Saccharomyces cerevisiae S288C: one gene and its partners. The gene in region 3 interacts genetically with the main gene of each other region. Each region holds a gene or a part of one and is shown on either strand. Other genes may lie near its edges.

Region 1 (3,747 bases), on a different chromosome or scaffold from region 3:
TGTCCCTCCCATGCGTTTTAAAGGCCAGCCACGTATCCAGAAAACGCAGCACCTGCATTTTTTGGTGGCGGAGGCTATGCTGGAAAAGGTAGTTCTTCCACTGCAGTAACTTCTGCCACAGTAAATTGGCGTGGATAGGCCCTGCAACATATTGCAGGTTTAAACGGAAAGTGTCCCCGCTTGTAATGGAAGAAAACGGTAAATTTTAATGAAGTGTACAGGCATAAAAGACAGGCGGTTAGTTGTTCTGTGTTGCCTGTCACAGAGGAACAGCGCGATAGCTTGCAGCCACAAAATTATAAGGTTTCTCTGGCCAGCTATTAAAGTATGAAAAAATTCGGACAATATACATATCTCGGACGTTTTCGGAGCAGTGCAGTCACTGGTATTGTACAGCGTTTATCGTTTCTCTTTTTTTTTTTTTTTCTCACTAAAGAAAATTTTTGACCATACTTACAGTAGACTAAATTACGTATACTATTAATCCTTTTTAGTTATCTCTTCGCTTTTTTCCTTTTCCCTTTCTGCACTAATGATTACCATTATTGAATAGTTTTTCCTTTTCCAGCTTCTGCTGTTTCTTTTGCAGTTGCCTTGATCTTTCGAAGTATAGGTTAGGATGCGCGATATGCGTTTGCTCGCCAATTTCCAAATCCGCTGATGCAGAGTTGTGTGTCATTTCAAACACTTTAGTGCAAGCAATTGTGTATTCACCTTTCTGGCAGGAATCCAGAACACTGATGATCTGCGCTTGGGTCAACTTCATAGAGCGCAATTCTGCAGATAGTCTCTCGTGACTCCAATCACGGAAAGGGCATCCATGATAATCTCCGCGCCCAGGTCTGGGCTTGGAAAGGATAGTGTGACAGTCCCATGGTTTGTAGTTGATTCTGTTACCTTCAAGACCGTAATTATGCCTGAAGCTGTAACGGTATTCTTTATTGAACTTCTCCATTGTCATGTTCCCATTTCTTGTAAATGCCTCAGACCAAAATTTTAACGCTTCATCAGCGCTCAGGCCGATACCTTTCAAAAACAGACTCAGTTGTTGTCTCCCATAATACCTCAAATGATGGTTCTTTTTAAGACCCTCCATCAGGTTTTTGATACATAGCGGATAGTTTGAGCTAATCTCTTCAGACCAGACACTTTGCGCATTAATCTCATCATCTACGTTCTCACTGAATTGGTTTGCCTTTTGCTGGTTGAAATCCGCGATAGTGTACCCCGACGAAAGATGATTTAGAATTGGTAACAACCGGTCATCCTCATTCAGTCTTGGTAAGTACTGGTACGTTTTTATTAACTCCTGGTTCAATTTGCTAGCAAACTCATTAGAAAGTAAATTCAATTGCTGGAATTGTGGTAAATATGCGTACCCGTCCTTCAAAAACACTAAACGGTTTCCTACCAGTTCTATCACATTTTCGAAAGGTAATTTTATGAATTTTTCCTGTTGGAAATACTGTTTTCTTTGATGTTCCTCGTTTAAATTCAATTGGAACTGTAGAGACGCAGAAACTGTTTGATACAACTGATGAGATAATTCGGCCTTTTCTTCATTTGAGATAAACTGTAGTAAGGGTAAGTCCAATGATTGAACAAATTTTGTTTGATCGGTGGAGGTTAGCATGTTAAATCTAATTTTGAACAAAAACGTTTCAGCCCTGACGAATTTTTCCCGCAGTTCTTTTGAACGACAAAAGCACAATCTTAAAATGAAATGAGAGTAGTAATCCTTTTTTCTGTCTTCTAAACTCTCTGTGTTGAAAGGCAGTAGTTTTTGGAACTGCGGCTTGATAATGGTTTCAATTTCTTTGATCGATTTGTTTCTTGAAAGGCAAGATTCGATCTCTAACAGAATTTTGAGACGATCGATTGCCCAGATCTCAAATTGTTCCAACGTTATTTCTCCCTGTGGTGGTAAATCGTAAAATGATAATTTAGACTCATACAGCCTAGCGTAAAGTTTTTTCTCTTCTTCAGATGAACTTGAACTTAAGATGATCTGGTTAGCTGCATTTGTGTTGCCTACGTCCAATTCGCTTTTGACAATATCATCGTATGAACTAAAATTCTTCCTTGAGGCAATTCTTCTTTTTGACTGCCTGAACATTTCTTCTCCTTATTGTGCTTTACCTGCTGTCACTGGTTGCTCCACCTGGGTAGTTATCAGTCCTGTCAAAGTTGTGCAAATTGGAGAGATGTAGATAGTAAAAAATTTACTTTTGCAAAATCACAGGATTTAATATCGAGTTTTACGCGATTCCCCGCGACGCGTAATTTCAAATCAAGTTAACTATAAATGAGCAGGAAAAAGCAAATAGAGTGAGCAGCAGATATGTAAGGCAATATTGAAACAAGAAGAGACCTGTCGTATCACCTTTGGCCTGATAAAAACAGTGTTTCCATGTCTGTCTGTAGCAGCGGAAACAATCCTACGCCGTGCTTCTGGGCTCTTGATGATGTAAGATGTTCCGTTTCATGAACGCACTGGATCTCAGCTTATAACTGTTGGTTCAGAAAAATTCAATCATTTATTTAAAGAATGTACCGTACGATGAATATACGCTATAAATGCTTCCATATATGTATAAGTGTATCGTACTATATTCGTAGCGGTGTCCCGTCACCCGGTTTTGCACCCGTTCGAGGCGCGATTTAATTTCGTACATCCAGAAAGAAAACTGGCAGATGGAAATAAAGCTCGGATTTCATGATGATCATAGGTACTCTTTGTATAATGGGCTCATCTATTATATATTCACTGTTACTGTGTTGATACTCATATTTTATAAGCAGCTTAATAGGTGTGCGAACGGGAGGATTTTTGGTAAAAAGAGGCTTAAATTACAAGATACGAAAGGGTCAAAACGCTAGGGAAACCTTTCCAGGACATATAATAGTGGATACAACAAAATACACACCACTTTTTTTCTGAGCTTTCTTTCTTTTCAGTCTGTTTTAAAAACGAACACATAAAAATGCTAGTAAATAAAGTGATAGGGTTACTGGGTGTACTCTTCGCAACAAGATTTACAAATGCCGTCGAATTGGATCTAGACAACTACGAATCTTTGCAAAATGCTACTTCACTAATTGCCTACGGTTTAATGGATTATTACACTGGTAATCAGTATGGTAAGACGGTCGGTATGTTTTCAGATCCGTACTATTGGTGGGAAGCCGGTGGTGCCTGGGGCTGTATGCTAGATTACTGGTTTTTCATGGATAACGACACCTATAATGATGAAATTATAGCAGCAATGATACATCAAGCTGGTGATGATAATGACTATATTCCGCTAAATCAATCTACCACTGAAGGTAATGATGACCAAGCCTTTTGGGGTATTGCTGCTATGACTGCCGCGGAGAGAAACTTTACTAATCCTCCCGAGAATGAGCCTCAATGGCTATATTTAGCACAGGCTGTTTTCAATACCATGGCTTTGCGTTGGGATGCCGATTCCTGTGGTGGTGGTTTGAGGTGGCAAATTTTCGTTTGGAACTCTGGTTACGATTACAAGAACACCGTTTCTAACGGTGCCTTGTTTCACATAGCTGCAAGATTAGCAAGATATACAGGTAATCAAACATATGTTGACTGGGCCGAAAAAGTTTACGAGTGGATGGTCGGTGTGAACTTAATTTCTAATGGTACCTATAAGTATGTTTACGATGGTGTCAGCATTGATGATAATTGCACCAAAGTGACCTCATATCAATGGACATATAATCAAGGTT
Region 2 (4,573 bases), on a different chromosome or scaffold from region 3:
TGTTGATATTTTAATGAATGAATTTGCGTTCAATCCCAAGGTTTAAAGTCCTTTTCTTTTTTTGCGTAATGTTTACTTACCCTCGAAAAAATGTTATGTAATGACTGCGGTGCTACAGGAGAGGTAAATGATTTTCTATATACGTTTATATTTCTTCCATTTACGCACACTATTTTTTGTCCTTGAATAATTTAACTCAAAAAAAGTGTAAAAAACTGTGTCATTAGGTATATGTTCAATACTTTTGATCTTCAAATGACGTAAAAAAAAGTTTTCAGACGGACTTAAACCGCCAACCAGCCTTGGCCACAGGTGTATGATGCGAAGATTCGTAAGCGCTCACGTTAGTCACATCTCAGGATTGGAAATTATACTAGATAATAAATGGCTTTATTTAATCATATTATAGTTGATATAACAAATCACACCTCCGCTTAATTTATACGTAATAGTATTTACAGTCCTTATGGGTATCAAGACATATTAGGTTAGGAGAACTAAAGAAAAAAAAAAGGACTGTTTGTGCAATTGTACCTGAAGATGAGTAAGACTCTCAATGAAATTAGCACTTTTCTTGGATTTCTATTAAAGCGCTAGCATCTTTGTATACGTCTGACTGGGTAAATTTTTGAAAGGAATCGTTATTCATCAGTCTATACATTTCATTGCTAACGATCTCGAAGAGGGGATATAATTTCCTGAGGACCTTCAAAGTTGCTGGAAATGATTCAACCGATTTGGTATCATTTTGGGTGTTGTCCATGCCATAACGAACAATTGTATGTGAATTTTCTACTGATGCATTAGGCGAATGCGTTTCTGCCAGAGTTAACGGGGCAGGTTTATATTCCTTTAACTGATGTTTGAATCCTTGCTTCTTAAATGAACAGTTTTCATTTGAAAGATTTTTTGAAGGTTTTAGACTCACTTCAGGTGGTTCACCTAACGTGTCAGCCTCCGTTGAGCTAATTGATGAAGCTGCTGATTCCGCGGATGCAGGTGATGGATCGTATAGATTAGTAGGAAAGTGTTCCGATAATGGAGAATGAGGGTGCAACATGATGTCAGAAATATTCTGACGCAAGTTATGATGGATATTTAATTGATATGGTGATCCTATCATGATATAGGACGAATAAATGTGATATGCCATTTCAAGGCACTCATTGGCCTGTTTCATTAAAGCTGAATCAATCGTTTTTACGATATTGTTTTTTGAAGTACTGGTATTAGATTTTTTATCACAATGCTTAGAATCTATCAATTTTTTCAGAATTGTCATTTTCTTCAAAAACCTCTTAATCTCAATGAAGACATCCAAATTTTCTACACAAAGTTCCTTTTCTAAATGGCGCCTGAATAAATATCTCATACCTGGATCAGTTAGCACATAGTCCAGTTTATTTAAATTACTCGAAGAGATAAGCATGTCTTGAGAAAAACCTTCACTATCATCCAATGTCTTTTTTTCATCACGAACAGTCATATGACCCCTTAATGTGAAATCTAGGTCTATGGTGCTACCATTTGGTGCTCTAATATTATTGCTCTTACAACCTGTCCAAGAAACCAAATCCCAACCACGCTTGGACAAGGTAAAAAAAGAGGACCTGCTAATTTGAAACTTTTTCTTGTCAGTGCGTGATGGTTGTAAAAGAACTGGTACAATCAACCCCGTTTTTAAAAATAACGCTGCCAACGAGACCGCTTCTTTAACATGCATAATATCAGTACAGTCCATTATCCACTGCCATATAGCCTTTGTTGTAAAGGTGTACTTAATCACGATTTTTTTGGAAGTGCCAAACGTCTTATTTTCAAACAACCTAATACCTGCATTCGAAACGTAGTATTGCGTGTGCGACTCAGAATCTGGATTTGTAAAGAATCGATGAGCTAATGGCGATACCCTTTCTAAGTCATTTATATCGATGTTTCCAATCTGAGCTTGCCATCCTTGTTCTGGCTTAGATTTCTCAAAAGTAAATGTATCATCATTATTAGTGTATTCCAACAACGAAGATAGGCAAGGTAATGGGTCATCTGCGTTTGTTGGAGACCAAACATTTGGCTTAGCGCCCATCATTTTAATGAAAAGAATATGGATCAAATAATCACTATGGATGATTGAATCCGTGACAGAGCTTCTCTCAAAAGTGAAAAGTTTCATGGAGTTAAACGATGACAAAAGAATATCAGGCATTGTTTTCAACCCAATATCTCTAACATACTTTTGTAAAACAGCAACTCCCTTAGGTGTTGGTTGGAAAAGAACTTTCTCTTTTGGCTCGCCACGAGTTCTGTCCTGCGGTGTATGTAGTAGCTTAGAAGACATAAATAATGTAAGAAGGTGGCGCGCCAAACTAGGTTTAATATTATATGAAACGTTAATACAAGTTGTGTTCATATCCACTTTTAGTTCCAATTGTCCCATTGCTTTAATAGCTTCCTGATATGTAAAAGTGAAGTGGAAATGTTTAGTGAATGCAGTTAATAAGAAAGACTTAGTGTCACTACTATGTTTTTTCTCTTTCAAATCCAAACAAATTAGAAAAATGGAATATACTGTCTTTAAATCATTGGTAAAGATCAGTCCATTCGGCGTTCTGCTGAAATTTTTGGAAGATAATTCATGCAACGTCCTATTTTTATCCACCATCTTACAACTCTATCTTTAATTACCAAATTGAACCTATAACGCCTCAGATAGTGCGTGCAAAACCTAGAAGGAACGTACGACAGTAACACCTCCAAAGTTAAAGGACGATGAGAAGTAAAGACAGAGCTGGGATTATGATTTCATTCACCGGTATAAATATAACAGGACAGACAACAATTCTAACGCACCAGCAACCAAATCCAAGTCCTAGTCAAAAAAAAAGCAGTATTGGGATCATTGTTTCAAAATTGAATATTATGAAACGTTTAAAACCCAGACATCCCATAATTATTGAAGATGATTCAGTTAAAACTTCGCATACTTCATGGCTTCTTCATTAATAGAGACAACGGAGGTGGTTCAACTTGAACTTTTCCAAAGGAGTTGCCATCTCTTTGTATTGTTCGAACTCTTTCAAAAGACCTTGGTAATTTATCTATCATGTACTTTTCGAGTTAACTTAAGTGGAAGACGCTGGTTTTTCTTAAAGTTATAAGCACTATGTGGGTAATTTTTTATTGTCAGTCTGTTTCTGATCTTATCCAACAATTCATCAAAAGTTCTACTCTGGACTATAATCTCAGTGTAAGCGTTAAACAAATAGGTAAAAGGGTGCGGAAAGACCTTCAAAAATTCGAAAAAGATTGCTAAGTTGGATTCTTTATTATTCAACTGGCATGTGACAAGCGAGTTGTAAGACTGTAATAACTTGCTTCCGGAATCAAAGGTAAACTTTATCATTTTTTTCAAATATTCTTGTTCTTGAGCGCATGTTAATATCGGCATCTCAAACACAGTATATTTTGTGTTGAGTTTCTTTTTGAGGGATGTCGATAGGAGAGACGAAATGCTAACGTTATTTGAATAAATGAGGACCTTAAATGCAATGTTATTACTTTTTTCAAGTACCGATAAAACATTGATAAATTCGGTAAGCTTCGAAGGTTCTATTATAGTTGAAGTAGATAATTTATCTAATTGTTCGAATTTGAAGTAGACAATATGATCGATACTTTCGTCATTATTTATTTTCCTCATAACCATCATCATTAGGTCAGACGTGTGATTTGAAGGTTTTTCACTAGCTTCGAAATCTAGTTGTCCGCTATATGAAGCCTGCCCCATTGACTCGATACATTCTTTTGATTTGCTTGATTGAATACCCTCTTTCATTAAGTAGTCATTCATTTCTATAATTACGACATTTATATCGACTAAAGACAGTGTTTCTGAAACTGCACGGTCGATACCAGCATATTGGTGTATATGTTCAACTTTGTCGAAGAAAACGATACAATTTTTCATACTCCTAAGATTTTTTGAAAGAAACTTACTTAAGCTCGGAACGTAGCTTATTGACAAATAATTGGTGCCTAGCTCTTGCAAGGCCATTGATTTGAACTTCTGGTAGAAAACATGGTCCACTCGCTCCTTAACTGGACTCGGCTTACACACCTTTGGGCTGCTAACACTTTTTTTAATTGGAACAAGGTTCAACTTTCTCAGTACAGTAAAATTTTTTTGCTCCAAATCATCGCTTATTGCTTTCACAATCTTGTCACTGTCAACAACCTTTTTCGATCTCCTTATAGGTGCAAAATCGGAATCTACATGCTCCATTGTCTCTATATACTAACCACGTTCGTATTTATATCTATATTCGTACATATATTGTTCTAACTTATTGAAATTGATGGTTAAGAAGATCCCTTCTGTACATATCTGTAAGCGCAATGTTTTCTTCATTGAAAACAGCTGCAAAATTAGAAAACTAAAATAATAACTTTCAAGATAACTAAGCCGGGTTGCCCTTTGACCTAGAAGCATCCCTTATAATAACATTATGTGTATGAAAACCATGTCAGCAAGAACGGTTACGGATATGGAGTGAAGCAAAATCTTTAAGGATTTATT
Region 3 (3,942 bases):
ATGCAGTGGAGTCCATGGTGCAGGTCCACAACTTTCTAAATGAAGGGTGCTGGCAGGAAGTGCTCGAATGGGAAAAACCGCACACAGATGAAAGCCACGTGCAGCCTAAGTTGCTGAAATTCATGGGGAAACCGGGCGTATTGAGCCCTCGTGCTCGCTGGATGCACCTGTGCGGCCTACTGTTTCCGTCCCATTTTAGCCAAGAACTACCATTCGACAGGCACGACTGGATTGTACTCCGAGGCGAGCGCAAAGCGGAACAACAACCTCCAACCTTCAAGGAAGTTAGATACGTCTTGGATTTCTACGGAGGGCCCGACGACGAAAACGGAATGCCTACTTTCCACGTGGATGTCCGTCCTGCCCTAGATAGTCTAGACAATGCTAAGGACCGGATGACCCGTTTCTTGGACCGGATGATCTCGGGTCCGTCCTCTTCGTCCTCCGCCCCTTAAATGATATACAGCCAGCGTAAGTACGTGTAAATAGCCAAGTAAGAAATAATGATGTCCTAGTGCAGCCACAATCAATTTCACTTTTTCATATATATTTTTCCACCTTATTATCACAAGGTGCACCTTTATCGTGTGCCACGGCGGTAAAAAACTACCTTCAGGGGTACGATACATTCTGTGCTGGCGACCACGGGGCTGACAGAGACACCCGTAGAGGCTACATTACTGATTTGGGAAATTTCCCAAATTGGAAATATCACCTCGTCGACGTGCTGCGGTGCATGGCTGTTTTACCCGTTTAGGAAAAAACTCGGCGGGTTTTCTTGACGGGCAAATGTCGCCATTCGTCTCGTTTGAACGCTTGGCCTGTAAAACAGCTAACTCATTCACTATCTCTATCCTGCGACCGTGATGATACCGAAAGTATGCTGATACAGATCGGTCCCTCATATCGCGATAGGGCTTTCTGAGCTCTCCTCCCCCTTCTTCCCTCCCCAGCCAAAGAGGCCGGTTTTCCTTCTGGGGAAGTGTCGCAACCAAACGCTGTGCTCAAACCCTAAATTGTGAACTTTCAAGAAAAAAAAAAAGAAAAAGTGAAAAATTATCAGGCAAGAAAAAGAAATTACCAAGCCTGCTCTCACTGTAATGATCAAGTTACATAAATTTACTATCGGATTAGTGTGTCCCTCTGCCACATTTCCATATTTGGCCTTGGGTTTTTGCCCTCATCTTTTTTTTTTCTTCCTCCTACCTATTTATAATTTGTATATCTGTACTTTCCTCGAGCTTTTAATCTTCTTCTTAAACATTTTCTTGTGTAGTATACTTTCACACAATTTCTTTCTTGATTTTTTCTTCTACTACTGAGTCTGCCAGTCAAATGGATTTCTGAGGAAAGAGGACTATACCCATTAGGAAACGAATTGCCCGAGTAGTCTCCTCTGCCGACTTAAACCAACCTTTTTCTATTTCTCTTTTCTTTTCTCCCTCTTTTTTCTCTGTACTAGCATCCAAAAGCAAGCATCCATCCGAGTCCCAGTCGCAATCTCACATCTCCAATTTAACGTATCCATTGCATTTCCTCATTCGGTTTAACTCCTCTGCATTTCTTTTCTGACCCATAGCATTTCTTACATTCCATTGCATCTCCCTTTTACTCTCGTTCAAGACACTGATTTGATACGCTTTCTGTACGATGGCCATATTGAAGGATACCATAATTAGATACGCTAATGCAAGGTATGCTACCGCTAGTGGCACTTCCACCGCCACTGCCGCCTCTGTCAGCGCTGCCTCATGTCCTAATTTGCCCTTGCTCTTGCAAAAGAGGCGGGCCATTGCTAGTGCAAAGTCTAAAAACCCTAATCTCGTTAAAAGAGAATTGCAAGCACATCACTCAGCGATCAGCGAATACAATAATGATCAATTGGACCACTATTTCCGTCTTTCCCACACAGAAAGGCCGCTGTACAACCTGACTAACTTCAACTCTCAGCCACAAGTTAATCCGAAGATGCGTTTCTTGATCTTTGACTTCATCATGTACTGTCACACAAGACTCAATCTATCGACCTCGACTTTGTTCCTTACTTTCACTATCTTGGACAAGTATTCCTCGCGGTTCATTATCAAGAGTTACAACTACCAGCTCTTGTCCTTGACCGCGCTTTGGATTTCGTCCAAATTTTGGGACTCCAAGAATAGAATGGCCACTTTGAAAGTCTTGCAAAACTTGTGTTGCAATCAATATTCTATAAAGCAATTCACGACTATGGAAATGCATCTTTTCAAATCACTCGATTGGTCCATCTGTCAGTCGGCAACATTCGACTCCTACATCGACATCTTCTTGTTCCAATCTACGTCCCCGTTATCGCCTGGCGTTGTCCTTTCTGCCCCTTTGGAAGCTTTCATTCAACAGAAACTGGCCTTATTAAATAACGCTGCTGGTACTGCTATTAATAAATCGTCCTCTTCTCAAGGCCCCTCTTTGAACATCAACGAGATCAAATTGGGTGCCATTATGTTGTGCGAGTTAGCTTCCTTCAATCTCGAATTATCATTTAAATATGATCGTTCACTAATTGCGCTGGGTGCAATTAACCTCATCAAATTATCTTTGAACTACTATAATTCAAACCTTTGGGAAAATATCAATCTGGCTTTGGAGGAAAACTGCCAAGACCTAGATATTAAATTGTCAGAAATCTCTAATACTTTATTGGATATAGCAATGGACCAAAATTCTTTCCCCTCCAGTTTCAAATCAAAATATTTGAATAGCAATAAGACATCTTTAGCAAAATCTCTCTTAGACGCATTACAAAACTATTGTATTCAATTGAAACTGGAAGAATTCTACCGTTCACAAGAATTGGAAACCATGTACAATACTATCTTTGCTCAGTCCTTTGACAGCGATTCATTGACTTGTGTTTACTCAAATGCTACTACTCCAAAGAGCGCTACGGTTTCATCTGCGGCCACAGACTATTTCTCGGATCACACTCATTTAAGAAGGTTGACCAAAGATAGCATTTCTCCACCATTTGCCTTCACTCCAACCTCATCTTCATCCTCTCCATCTCCATTCAATTCCCCTTACAAGACTTCAAGTTCAATGACGACCCCAGACTCTGCATCACACCATTCACATTCAGGTTCGTTCTCTTCTACCCAAAATTCTTTTAAAAGGTCACTGAGCATCCCACAAAATTCAAGCATCTTTTGGCCAAGCCCACTAACTCCCACCACCCCATCTCTAATGTCAAATAGAAAATTATTACAAAATTTATCTGTGCGTTCAAAAAGATTATTTCCTGTTAGACCCATGGCCACTGCTCACCCATGCTCTGCCCCCACCCAACTGAAAAAGAGATCAACTTCCTCTGTGGATTGTGATTTTAATGATAGTAGCAACCTCAAGAAAACTCGCTGAAACGACAAAAAAAAAATGCATTTAACAACAAATAAATTAAAATTTGCAAAGCAAATACGTTAACATACATTAATGATCTTTTTTTCTTTTTGTTTTCACAGGACTCATTATTTCTTTAAATATACTTATATTACATTTGCATAGAATTACAAAAAAAAAAAAATTATAAAAACGCACAACCTAAAATACGATTACTATCGTTTTTTCTCCTTACTTCCTCTAGTCACATTATACATTTTTTTTCATCCTTCACAGACGTATCTTAATACTAAGTGTGGATCAATATAATGGGTATAGCTTGAACATCTGCCCCTCTCTATCTAATGTTTTTTTCTTGAATTATTTAGTATTTGCTGTATACTAGTTTTATTTATCAATACAGACGAATGTTCAAGAATTTCTCATTGTTTTCCGCCAACATTTCTTTAGCAACATTCCAATCTTCATCGCTACCTAACACAACAAAATCCCCATCTTCGTCCTGATATTTGATCTTGGTGATTGGTGAAATGTTGTTATTATGTGTATTCGAAATTTTAGAATTGATCG
Region 4 (5,706 bases), on a different chromosome or scaffold from region 3:
GTTATTTCTCAATTCCATCTTTGTGCCGCGTAGTTCTATCTTACATAACTTTATTTTAAGAAGAGCTTTAGTTCATGTTCTTGGAAGAATTCCTTTTTTGACACGATTTTTAACCTAAAGGCTAAATTTTATTTAAACTAACAGTGAACAAAGTATTTAAAGCTTCATATGTGAGTTGTCGAACACGTCAATAAACGGAGGTAATAAAATGAAGGATGAGGGAAAAAAAAAACCATAATTTTAGGCTGAAGCCCATATTGTGATATTTTTAATGTTTTCTTAGAAAAATTAAAAAACTTCTCAATTAAATGTAAAATTTTACTTGTTGGCGATACCTTAGAGGATTCAAATTTAACTAGTGTTAATATACGAACTGGTAACACTAATGTTTAGATACCTGTATATCATACAAACCATTCAAAGTGTATAGGAGTATGTTCACAAACCGTAGTATTATGTGCTACATGAATCAAGTATAGATTTAAAATTTCTTTCAAGTCAATTTAAATTATTTTACAATTGTTTATATGCTTGTGAAGATTATATTGTATCACTATAGCAGTAATAAAGCGACAACAGCAACGATAGCGGTACCAAAAATGTTATCTTTATCGAAATTATAGGCACCGTTGGTATTGATACTGACAGTATAAGAAGCAGATGAATGAGCAATGGAAGTAGCCGAGGAGGCTTTTGGAATTGGTGAGATGACTTTGCTGGTAGCGGTCGCGATTGGTGCAGTTAACATGGTACAGGTTCCACCTGAGCAGTTGGTCACAGTAGTTTGAGTGATAGACAATCCGGTTCTGGTAAACATGCTAATCCCTGCATCGACAGTAGTCAGGGTGGTACAGGCACCCGCAGAGCAACTGACTTTAATCGCTTTGGGGATGGTCGACTCTGCATTGTTCGATGTAGTGGCTTTGGAGTTGAAACTACTAACCGGAGACATCAGCGTGGTGCAAATACCACCCGAACAACTAGTAATAGTAGTTTCCATAGTTAGCAACTCGGTTTTAGTAGAGGCGACATCTTCTTCATTATCTTCGCAACTAATGGTAGCGGTGGTAGTTGCTTCGCTGGTGATTGTAGTAACTGGAACAGTCAGGGTCGAGCAAACACCACCAGAGCATGTTGTTATAGTTGTTTCGACCGTGGAAGTTTCTGTAGTTGTTAATGTGTTCGCCTTAGCATTAATAGTAGTAACCGGAGACATCAGCGTGGTACAAATACCACCCGAACAACTAGTTATAGTAGTTTCCAAAGTTAGCAACTCGGTTTCAGTAGAAGTGATATCTTCTTCATTATCTTCGCAACTAATGGTAGCGGTGGTAGTGGCTTCGCTGGTGATTGTAGTAACTGGAACAGTCAGGGTCGAGCAAACACCACCAGGGCATGTTGTTATAGTTGTTTCGACCGTGGAAGTTTCTGTAGTTGTTAATGTGTTCGCCTTAGCATTAATAGTAGTAACCGGAGACATCAGCGTGGTACAAATACCACCCGAACAACTAGTTATAGTAGTTTCAACGGTAGAAACTTGAGTTTTCGTCAAAACACTATCTTCATTAGTACAACTACTCTTACAGCTCGTGATGACAATTTCATCTGTTGATAGGTTTGTAAATGTTGAGGTTGCATTACGAACATTTTCTATCGTGCTGAACAGACCGCTACTGATGGTGTTGGAACTTCTGGCATCACTGCAATTACTTCTTGAGGATACTAAGAGAGGGGAACTTGATGCAAAAGATGCGACTGACGATGTAGGTTCCATAGAAAATGAAGAGACGATCGATTGGGAAACAGTGAAAGTACTTAAAGTGAAACTTGACATATTTGATGACGAAAGATATAAGGAAGAAGTCCGCTCAGCAATGAAGCTAGTGGATGTAGACGTAATTGCAGTAGACGACTCTGGAGAGGAACTGATTTCACTGAAGGGAATATTAGGAGAAACTGAATCGGTAGAGCTAGTGACCACAGTTGAAGAAACAGCAAGTGGAGTGGAAGGCGTAGCAAAAAAGGTAGTAGATTGGGTAGAGGAGTTACCAGAGACATCAGATTTAGCAGAAACAGTGGATCTGGTAAAGAAATCAGCAGCCTTGCTCGAGGAAACAACGGCTGAAGTGAAAGTGGATGTGGCAGATAGACTTTCAGTAGAAGAAATGGATTCATCAGAAGAAGGTCCAACCAAAGAAGTGGGTTCAACTGATGAACTGATCCCGCTTGAAGTAAGTACTTCAATGGAAGAAGGAATCTCAGAAGAGGAAGTAATTACACTAGAAACTATTAGTTCACTGGAAATGGTGATTTGATTAGAGGAGATAGATTCTGCGGAAGTGGTTGCTTTACTGAAAGAGAGAGGTTCAGCAGAAGAGGTGATTTCACTGAAAGTAGACCCGAAGGAAGAAACAGGTTCTGTCGTGGTCACTTGACTAGACCTGATAGGTTCAACAGAAGAGGTGACTTCACTTACAGTAGTAGGTTCAGCGGATGAAGTGACTTGACTAGACCTGATAGGTTCAACAGAAGAGGTGAATTCACTGACAGTAGTAGGTTCAGCGGATGAAGTGACTTGACTAGACCTGGTAGGTTCAACAGAAGAGGTGAATTCACTGACAGTAGTAGGTTCAGCGGATGAAGTGACTTGACTAGACCTGGTAGGTTCAACAGAAGAGGTGAATTCACTGACAGTAGTAGGTTCAGCGGATGAAGTGACTTGACTAGACCTGGTAGGTTCAACAGAAGAGGTGAATTCACTGACAGTAGTAGGTTCAGCGGATGAAGTGACTTGACTAGACCTGGTAGGTTCAACAGAAGAGGTGAATTCACTGACAGTAGTAGGTTCAGCGGATGAAGTGACTTGACTAGACCTGGTAGGTTCAACAGAAGAGGTGACTTCACTGACAGTAGTAGGCTCAGCGGATGAAGTGACTTGGCTGGGACTACTTGAACTGATATATGTATCGCTCGTAGTAGTAGTAGTTGCAGAAGTAGTGAATGCGTTAGTTGTTGAGACACTAGAGGTTGTATGGTCAGTAGAAGCCGTAGATGTGGCAGGTGTAGTAAGACTGGCAAAAGTGGTAGAGGTTGTAGCAGTGGTAGAAATGACAGAGGATGCAGAGGCACTAGAAGTACTGAAAGTGCTTGAAGTTGTAGAGGTCGTGGGAGCGGTAGAAATGGTAGAAGTGGTAGAGGTTGTAGAAGTTGTAGAAGTTGTAGGAGCGGTAGAGGTTGTAGAAGTTGTAGGAGTGGTAGAAGTTGTAGGAGTAGTCGATGTGCTTGAAGTAGTAGGAGTAGTCGATTTGGTGGAAGTTTGAGAAGTGGTGGAGGTTGTAGAAGTTGTAGGAGTGGTAGAAGTTGTAGGAGTGGTAGAAGTTGTAGAAGTTGTAGGAGTGGTAGAAGTAGTAGAGGTTGTAGGAGTAGTCGATGTGGTAGAAGTTGTAGGAGTGGTAGAAGTAGTAGAGGTTGTAGGAGTAGTCGATGTGGTAGAAGTTGTAGGAGTGGTAGAAGTAGTAGAGGTTGTAGGAGTAGTCGATGTGGTAGAAGTTGTAGGAGTGGTAGAAGTAGTAGAGGTTGTAGGAGTAGTCGATGTGGTAGAAGTAGTAGAAGTGATAGTGGTGGTAGGAGTAGTCGAAGTACTAGATTTTGTAGTCGTTGTAGAAGTAGAGGTTGGGATAGCCGTGTAAATACCATCCTTTGAAAGCGCTGAAGAGATAGCCGGCTTTAATCTGGTAGAGTACCACGGAACACCAGTGATCATTCTAGTTACTTCATCACCCGAAATACCGGTCAATCGAGTAGTGAAATCACCGTAGTCAAAAACGGCTGCTGCGATTTCCGAAGGATATGTTTCAGTCTTATGGTGATTCCGGAAAGAGTAGTACTGAAATATGTGGGCTCTGATGTCAGAAACATAAACAGCCAATTCAATAAGGTTGACTCTTTCATCGTAAGGAGATAAAGTAGTGGTCGCTGTAATAGCAGCCGCACTAGTAGCTAAGGCTACAATTCCTGCTACGATGCTTATATTAACCATTGCTTTCTTCGGAGTTTTTCGGATATCGCAGATTCGACAGGAACTGGTACTTATTTCAGTTTGAGCATACTCTCAATACAGCCATTTACACAGGCCATTTATAGGCTTTCGAACCAAACAGCTGTTGTATAAACGAATATATTGGAGCAAAATCACTATCTTTGCCAATGCTTCTTGTTTTACAGTTCCTGAACGATGGAGATCTTAAACAGATCTCGTATAATTTTTGACATCTTTAAAGGCACGCGATGTACTGTCTTTTTCACCGCCAAAGAAATGCGCAGCATGTAAAAACTTCTCCGGAGAAAACGCCTACGGATGGGCAGATCGATCGAATTTCCCCGTGCCTAAATTGTTCTGCTCTTATTATCTGTGATTAAGTGACAGAACTGCAAAAAAAGTTAATTTGATGTCGTCGTTCAATAGACATTCACATAACTTTACTCTACGTGCTATACGCGCTACCAAACAGAAAGATCACTTTTTCCCAGTCAGTAGACACTGGGTCACTTGGGGTTTAGCACACTCGAAAAGGAGTAAATATGCTGCAAACGAGAATGTGCAAGCACCATTCAGAGGATCTTAGCTCGTAGAGAGAGAGAAGCTGTTTGTGCTATCCAATTTTGATCCTAGCGCTCCGAAAAAGGTCCGTATTAGGAAACTAGATCTTGTTAATTGAAATATCTCCTCATTTTTTTGCAGCCCGCCACTCAATGCGCTTTGTAACCTGTCATAGCTTGCACAGAGAAGTATCAAAGTCTACATGTGACAAAAAGAAAACCCAAATACTTCTTGGCTATGAATGTTATCGTTTGATGATAACATCCATTCCTCCAATTGGAAAATAATTACTCACGAAGGTTCTATGCATCCAAAGCGGAACCGTTGCTTTCATTTAATAGAATCCACAGAACTTTTAGTGTGATTTATACGAATTCCAAGGGAGACCTCGACGTGTGACTTGAATTAAGAAAAAGCCTTGCCAATCATAATAGTTCATATATGATAAACGGTCTTGATTCGGGTTCTTATAGCAACAGTAACGAAAAATCTCTACCCTCATAACTTAGTATTGTTGTGTTAGCGGTCATGAAATCTTTTGTATTTCCTTTAACATATCAGTTATATTTTCTTCACGCTACGTCAGCCCCATTATTGTGCCAACAGTTTACATCCTTTGCATTCAGAGGTGGTTCATTAGTCGCCTACAGCTGCCCGTTTGGAATGACGGCCCGTAGAGGACACGTTAATAGAAGACATTCCCCGCGATTCGACGAGTACGGCGCACTCTCAATGATTTGTAAAGGTTTCATATCAAACTATCAAAATATGCGGGGCTCTGCGTAAACAGAAGCAATCAGACTACATAAGGTCCTCAGTGTAATCTTACCGTAGGCCGATATGTCTTCCATTGTGAGAATTTCTCAACATTCTGTGGTTAATCAACCAAATCATGCGATACTAATGATCTTGACGGGCATACATAATAGAAGCTAAAAAAAAAAAACTAGCCTGAAGCTTATTCTGGGGCCCATATGCTCGAAATGCCAAATTTTCAAAAATCTAGCCCTACATGCACAACAAATGATTGTGCCTGCCTCCTGGCAGGAAAAGGGTTGATATGAAGATGTCCGGCGGCCTCTTAAACTTAAGATTGAAAGACATGC

Evidence for each region.
Region 1: mutations in CLN3 (region 3) and PRI2 together harm fitness more than expected from each alone (negative genetic interaction), as found in Saccharomyces cerevisiae (2 studies listed by BioGRID).
Region 2: mutations in CLN3 (region 3) and SST2 are lethal when combined (synthetic lethality), as found in Saccharomyces cerevisiae (2 studies listed by BioGRID, with this or other methods).
Region 4: mutations in CLN3 (region 3) and DAN4 together harm fitness more than expected from each alone (negative genetic interaction), as found in Saccharomyces cerevisiae (2 studies listed by BioGRID).

Annotation. Positions count from the first base shown.
Region 1 is NC_001143.9:351,862-355,608, reverse strand, and holds PRI2 (DNA primase subunit PRI2), read right to left. Parts: upstream 2,117-3,747; coding exon 530-2,116; downstream 1-529. Other genes in the region: DCW1 (putative mannan endo-1,6-alpha-mannosidase), read left to right, coding at 2,985-3,747. UniProt on the Saccharomyces cerevisiae protein: DNA primase is the polymerase that synthesizes small RNA primers for the Okazaki fragments made during discontinuous DNA replication. In a complex with DNA polymerase alpha (DNA polymerase alpha:primase) constitutes a replicative polymerase.
Region 2 is NC_001144.5:1,038,708-1,043,280, forward strand, and holds SST2 (GTPase-activating protein SST2), read right to left. Parts: upstream 2,660-4,573; coding exon 563-2,659; downstream 1-562. Other genes in the region: leucine-responsive transcriptional regulator LEU3, read left to right, coding at 1-46; RIF2 (Rif2p), read right to left, coding at 3,092-4,279. UniProt on the Saccharomyces cerevisiae protein: Desensitization to alpha-factor pheromone. Is involved in regulating the signaling pathway for responding to mating pheromone.
Region 3 is NC_001133.9:65,229-69,170, reverse strand, and holds CLN3 (cyclin CLN3), read left to right. Parts: upstream 1-1,650; coding exon 1,651-3,393; downstream 3,394-3,942. Other genes in the region: holocytochrome c synthase CYC3, read left to right, coding at 1-455; Rho family guanine nucleotide exchange factor CDC24, read right to left, coding at 3,767-3,942. UniProt on the Saccharomyces cerevisiae protein: Essential for the control of the cell cycle at the G1/S (start) transition. CLN3 may be an upstream activator of the G1 cyclins which directly catalyze start.
Region 4 is NC_001142.9:711,702-717,407, forward strand, and holds DAN4 (Dan4p), read right to left. Parts: upstream 4,040-5,706; coding exon 554-4,039; downstream 1-553. UniProt on the Saccharomyces cerevisiae protein: Component of the cell wall.